2 linked regions of the Saccharomyces cerevisiae S288C genome follow. The protein of the gene in region 2 purifies or fractionates together with the protein of the main gene of each other region. This does not show direct contact. Each region holds a gene or a part of one and is shown on either strand. Other genes may lie near its edges.

Evidence for each region.
Region 1: the proteins of AIF1 (region 2) and CBP3 purify together in Saccharomyces cerevisiae (affinity purification with mass spectrometry, with the first as the bait; one large-scale study listed by BioGRID). This does not show direct contact.

The regions. Positions count from the first base shown.
Region 1 is NC_001148.4:145,451-148,923, reverse strand, and holds CBP3 (Cbp3p), read right to left. Parts: upstream 1,509-3,473; coding exon 501-1,508; downstream 1-500. Other genes in the region: THI6 (bifunctional hydroxyethylthiazole kinase/thiamine-phosphate diphosphorylase), read left to right, coding at 1-355; YPL216W (uncharacterized protein), read right to left, coding at 1,795-3,473. UniProt on the Saccharomyces cerevisiae protein: Chaperone required for the assembly of ubiquinol-cytochrome c reductase of the mitochondrial respiratory chain.
Region 2 is NC_001146.8:776,916-780,489, forward strand, and holds AIF1 (Aif1p), read right to left. Parts: upstream 1,824-3,574; coding exon 687-1,823; downstream 1-686. Other genes in the region: COS10 (Cos10p), read left to right, coding at 3,001-3,574. UniProt on the Saccharomyces cerevisiae protein: Putative FAD-dependent oxidoreductase involved in the resistance to cercosporin and other singlet oxygen-generating photosensitizers. Translocates from mitochondria to the nucleus under apoptotic conditions, where it degrades DNA and induces apoptosis.

The DNA.
Region 1 (3,473 bases), on a different chromosome or scaffold from region 2:
TGGTACTTTTGGAGGCGAATACAAACTTTCATCAGGAACAGAAGGAATAACCGCTGAAGATCTTCCATGTGTAATAATTGAAGATGGCCCAATTCCTATCATGGGTGACATCACTGCAAGTGGATGTTCACTTGGTTCTACAATTGCTTCCTTTATCGGTGGGTTAGATTCCACTGGAAAACTGTTTGATGCTGTGGTTGGTGCTGTCCTATTATACAAATCAGCTGGTAAGTTGGCTTCCACCCGTTGTCAAGGAAGTGGTTCATTCCATGTCGAATTGATTGACGCATTATATCAATTATTCCATGAAAATAAACCAGAAAAGTGGTCCGCTTCTTTGAAGAAATTCAAATAAACTATTTACAACGTAATGATTTTATAAACTGATTAAATAAGGAAGAAAGCCCAAAAAATTGGAAAAAACTTAAGGAATTTGTGCGGATAGTATCTGAAGAATAAATAAGTGTTTTCATAAGTTTTGAAGTTACAAACTAGCTCGTTTAGTTTGTATATGACAGCCTACTTCTCTCGCTTGGTAAGGTTTTAGGATCCTTGTCTAGAGCTTCATATTTTGCAATGGTCTTGGCCTTCAACTCTTCCTCTTGCTTTGGTGTCAGTTTTTCGACCTTCACCCCAGGAGGAACAAACTTGAATTTACCTGTGGCAAACTCTCTGTCTGATAACCTGCTTAGAACATATAGTTGAGAATAAATGTATCTCACAACAGACTCTAAATGAACCATATCAATGTTCTTTCTTCCACCAAAAAGATTTCTCCAGACAGCTGTCGCAAGTGTACCATCATCTGTAGCAAATCCTTCATCATATGCAAATATCGCTCCTCTTAATTGCGTATTGAAATCTTTCAAATATTGATCTGCGATTCTACCAGAATTAACTTTCATTTCCTCGAATAATCTCAGCTCAATGTCAGAAAATGTTCTATCTACCAATTTCTGCTGATAGTTTCTGCCGTATTTGAAAGGCATGGCTCTCATACGTACAAAAAGTATCCACTCGTGCAATACAGTGATTTGAAACCATTGTGAAAAAGTACGTGGTAGCTTCAAATCCTCGTAAAAGTATTTAGCAGTTTCTGATAATGGCTCGTCCTCGTATTGTAAACCTTGCTCTTTACAAATTTTATAATAGTAAGATCCTGCAACGGGCCCTGCCCTCACTCTATCCATATCTAAATGAAATGCTCGAATTACTAGTTCACCCAAGGCTTCTTTCCATTTGGGAAGTTCGTACTTTGACGATTCATATTTACTATGAGCTAGAGGAATTTTATTCTGAGCAGTTTTCACTGGTGCTTTATTGCTTACATCTAGTGGTTTCGAATTCAGATGTGAGCTTTTTGCTAAAAGCTCTGGCGAATCTTGTGCAGTTTCTTTATTTTGCTTGAAAACACATGTTTGATGCAAATAAGCTCTCGAGTAGTAAAAAGGGGACTTTCTAAGGAAAACAGGGAGTCGACCTGAAGTAAATCTATTGACTGACATCATCAAGTGTTGGAATAGCTGAAGAGATTGTTACGGAGATCATAGTGTTTGCTAAATATTAATCTTACTAATGCGTCAGTCGAGGACCAATTTTGACGTTGTTTTCCTTGCTGGCTATAAATTCAGAAGAACGCCGGGTAAAGCCTAAATACAACTCCAGTCAGACGCCCTGAAATGGGCCAATTTATATACGAGGAATAATGAATGGTGAAGATTAAATAGTAAAAGATATTTCTAATATCTTTCTAAGGCGTATACAGGAAGAGTGATTTGAACTGCAGAGTTGTTTCTAGTTGCGTTCTTCATCCTCTCGTCGTCTTGAAATAAGTTGACATTCAATCTCCTCTAATATACCCTGCACATCAAGATGTGCAGCTTTATCTACTCGTTGAGAACTTATCCCATAGCCTGAAACATGACTAATATGCTTATACCTCTGATGATTTAAAAGCTTCGTAAGAATATCCTCTTGCCTTTTTCTTTTCGTTTCAACTATAAATTCGAGGTCTATCGTCCTCAATTGTTCGAAATGAAAATTCAAAGGATAAATCAAATTTTGTTGCTTTTTGAGAAGTGCTCTTTCACATTCTCCAAGGTGAGCTACGTCTTTTAAAATCGCTTCCAAAACGAGATCATTCTTTGTCCTTGATAGTTTTTTGGAAATTTTCTCCATGTTGGAAAAATGTTGGCCGTTGGATGTACAAGTTGTCTCAATTCTTTTCAGTTCAGGAAACGTGAACTCGTTATTTTTCAAAAGTTTGTGATTTTTTTTGAAGGTTTCATCACATTCAATACGCCTTTTAATTTTGAACTGTTGCTTGTATGATACTTCAATACGGTCCATTTTGGATGTCAAAGCTTTCTTCAATTGTCCCTCATTTTCTCTTAAATCATCCAACCTATCTACTAACATATGTATATCTTCTATATCGTTGAAGAAAGCCCATTGATGATGAGAGAGTAGGAGCTTTTCTGGAGTTTCTGATATAATTTTTTTGTCTATGAATGCCGGAATAGTTGGCCTCATTAAGATACCGTTTGAATTAATTATCATGAAATTCTCACCTTGAGCAATTTGATAGTAAGACCCGTCTGTCGACCTAAATATTGAAAAGACTTCTTTTGTCGCGTAGGCAGTACCTTTTGCTTTAGCTAACAACTCCCATTTTTTCAAAGATTCGACGTCGACATCTAAGCAAAAGTTTATATCCGCTTCAGAGGGTCCTTGAACCCACAAAAAACAGCAGTTGTAAAGTTCCTCATTTTTTTCACTGATGGCTGATGACGATCCATTTGAGTCCATCCAATAATATCGATTTCCATTTCTATCTTTACCCAAAATCTCTAGTCTCTTGATATCGCTCTGAATCAATTTTGCCTCTAGGAAGGCGATATCTTCCATTAAGTATGCAATTTTCACTTTAAGGGCATTGACCTTACCTTTACATTCATCTGATCCATATCGGTTCATTGAAACGTTGCTGTGAAGCTTCACGCGATTTTTGGTTAACGTTTTTAGTTGCCGTTTCAATTTGATATACTCTTTTTTTGCACTATCCAACTTTAAGCGGATTCCATTGCACAGTTTTGGTACTTTATCTACCAACTCCTTAATATAACTCGAGAAATTGGACGCAAAATCTACGAGAACCCATAAAACATCAATTTTATCTTTTATAGATAATCTCTTGCGAAAGTTATCCCAGAGCTCATCACCTAAATTTACAAAATTCATGGATAAAGGTAGTATTTTTTTTGTGATACATTTTGCGACATCACTATATGCTATCATATGTGTATTCTGTTGCAAGATTCCAAGGAGACAGATCAACCAATTGCCGTTGCTAAAGTTTTTATTGTGCAAAAGTTTAACCCAGCTAGTATCTCCATAGTTCAAACACTTTTCTATAGCTATATCAATTTCTGTTTTATTTCCTTCCTCCTTTCGCTTTTCTTCAGTCCAATTGT
Region 2 (3,574 bases):
TATTTATTGCGCGCCCTGCAGGAAAATAAGTTTTAGGCACTTAAAAAATAAAGTTCCCGGGGTCAATTTCTGGTAGTGGCAAGCAAAGTATACTGAAGTTGGCAAGCAACACGTAGCCTCTGCATATATCGGCCTTTCTCGGAATGAAATAATCAAAAAAATATTATGCGGGAAGCCGCTGTTTTATTGAGCATTCTAATGCTTTCTTTTTCCCAGCACCTAAACCACACAATACTTTACTCCAGTTCCGTATTTGCCCCTCCCATGGCATCACGCCTATACCTTAACTGTTAATTCTCACCGTCCCCATTATACTAGGTTTAAAAAAGAAGGTGGTCAATCCTGTTGATATCTGTATCTCTATATAACAAAACTTCGGTATAAAACATTCACACTTCGAGTAAAATCAGTACCTATCTTCATGGACCCTCCAAAATGTCAAATTGTTATCAAGCGATTGATAACTCTAATGCACAGGTGTAATACCGTTTTACTACTGTCAAAGAAACTACATATAGTGTGAGAATCCAAAGCTAACATTTTCGAGTAACTTCGGGTTTTAATAGATTATTATCTGAATGCGAAGTTCAACATTTGTTGTTTCCAGCGGCCTTCTTTGTTTCACAATACAGAAACTAATATATATATATATATATATATATATACGCTGCAGTTCATATTTTAGTCTATTTTTTGAATAAAGGTTCCATTTTGTCGGAGAAAAGATTCTTCGACTTTGCTCTAGAAATTAAAAACGATGGAATATTAATCGTCCCAAGTAACGGTAGTGGAAATTGGCCAAACCCTGCATTTGGCCCAAGGGAGACACCACTTGGGGCATGTCCTGTCTCAAGACAATCTGCATCAACGAGACTAGCCTCTGTTCCTTCTTGTAAAGAACTTATAACATTTCGGGTCAAAACATCAACCCAATTATCTCTTTTAACCAATCCGTGATATCTAAAATTCGTTACATCACCAATGGCAAAAACGTTTCCTGCCTCAACAGCTTTTACCCTGAAGTTTTTTTCAACTTGAATGAACCCTTTCTTGTCACAAAGGTCTGAAATACTGTTGACCGGCACATTTGGAGAAATACCAACGCCTCTGTAAATCAAATCAGCATCTATATATTTAGATGAGCCCTCACCTAGAAAAATACGTTTCGGCGAGGTGTCTAAAGAAGCCCCTACTGTGTTCAAGTACAACGTAATACCATTTTTTGAGAGATAGTCTGTCACATTTTTTCTTAGGGTATCGTTGTATAACCCAGAGTCCGGCAGTAGCTTATCGGAATTATGAATAATGGAAATACGCTTTTTGCCAGACCTGATCTCCTCCAAATACTTGAATAACAATTCACCAGCTAGTTCACAATTAACAAAGCCACCGCCAAGAAAAAGTATGTGATCTGCATCTGAGATTCGAGAAGCCTCTCTTTCAAAATACTCTTTATAGTTATCCCCGAAGGTATAAGTTGAACCAATTGGATCAGCCCACTTTGAGCCAGTTGCAAGAACCAAGATATCAAACTTTATGGCCCTGTCTGACCCCAAAACTACCTCCTTATCATCAAAGCTGGCAGCCGTATCTTTGATAACTTCAATACCACTATCAAGAACATTTTTTAACGGCAGGATCGACTTGGTATAATCCTTTGAAACCGTCAAACGGACAGCTGAGGGTAGAAAATACACATAATTAGATGCTGTGACGAGCTTTATTGCGTATGTCCCACCCAGTTCCCTGTACAAGTGATTTGCCACAGACACACCAAACACACCAGCACCAACAACAACTATGTTCTTTGTGTTAATTGTCATATATTTTGCAATTTCTTTCTTCCTTTCTCTGCTCTTTCCTGTAAATAATGAAGAACAACGATGAGGAAATGTGTGTCTATCAATGATTTATCACTGCTTTCGTTTCTAGTCTGCAGCAGCTAATATATTAATACTTATAATAGGCTTCATTTGTCCAGCCAGATAAAAAGGACTAATCATGCAGGGTGGACATTCAATTAATTTTTATCGCTTTTTAACGATTACTAATCCAGTATTACCAACTACAATCACTCAGTCATGTATCACTAATAACGAAAAGTAAGCTGTACAATGCTCATCTTCCTAGCACTACTAGTACTGCTACTATGAGACACCATTGAAGTCTTCTTCAAGACCCCCATTATGAGAACACTTGGCTCACTATACAATCGGCGGGAGATGGGTTGTTATTATAGAGAGTTTCAGGAAAAGCACTCCTAGATTCTAGTCAAGTACTGCCTATTGTATAAGAGACGAGGGCACGAGATAGCGCAGTATTTTATGATGAAAATATGAAAATAAATACTTAACTCATTGAGTAAGCTTAGCTGGGCAACTTAACTAACAGTCAAAAAAAAAAAAAAAAAAAAAAAACAAGAGCCAGCAAACTGACATTAACATTGATCAATAAAATAAGAAAAAATGTACCAGAGAATTCGATTATGAACTGATGACAATATCATTAAAGACTTTGCACAGTATTCAAAAACTAATCGAGAGCTTTGACCAAAAAGTGTCCCGACTTTATAATGAGACCGCCGCTTAATTCATAGGAGTTATATGGTATGCTTTGGAAAGCTATTACATTGTTTGATAATTCAAAAATAAGCCACAATACTTCACCTATTGTGTACCATGTATTATAAAACATCGCAGCTCGTATCTGTAAACATACATTGACTTACATTTTAGTGATAACTTGGGTACTTGAGTGAAGTCCATTTCTCCCGTGCTTCCGGAACATAAACCAACATAGATTCTCTTTCACTCGAAACTGCTCGAAGCTGTTGCTCTTTTTTTGATCGTGGCTTTAACTATAAAACTCAACAGCTGCGTGATGAACGCGCTGTCAACAAATTTCATCTTGCGAATTATATAAAAAACACTGCGAGTGATTAAACCTCAGTAAACTTGTTACGTACCTCATAACATTAATGTGAAATACACTATATTGAATATGGGGGAAGAGATTAGACTTTTGTCCTCTAAAGGTCTTGAGACCCATAGTAGCTTTTGTTTGCCCGAGGATATTTTCAGAAACCGTTTAACATGGTTGTGCAGTGAGATTCGCAACTCAGGATTTTGGATCTGGTCGCTATCATGGTTACCGCTTGCCGTTTGGTGGGGGATGGCCAGTACTTGGTTTTATCCCCTTCTGACTTCAGTAGTTCTAATCCTGGCGCTAATTGCTATTTTGCCAGTAGTTCAAATACAGTACAGTAAATATACTTTATCAAATCAACTCACCCAGCTTTCTAAAGAAATCATCAAAAGTGCACCAGGTGCATACTCTGCTGATTGGGACGCTGTTGCAATACATTTCAATTCCTACTTGTATGAAAACAAAGCATGGAAAACTGCACATTTTTTTTTTAATGGTACTGACTGCCAAGAAGCATTCAGGAAAACCATTCTAGAGCCAGCTGTTTTGAGGAGACAAAACGAAGATCCTAGGTTCAGTTCAATTGAGATTTTGGTCCCTTACACCGAAGACGCGGTGCAGGTTTATTTTACAAAAGTAAACGCACAGT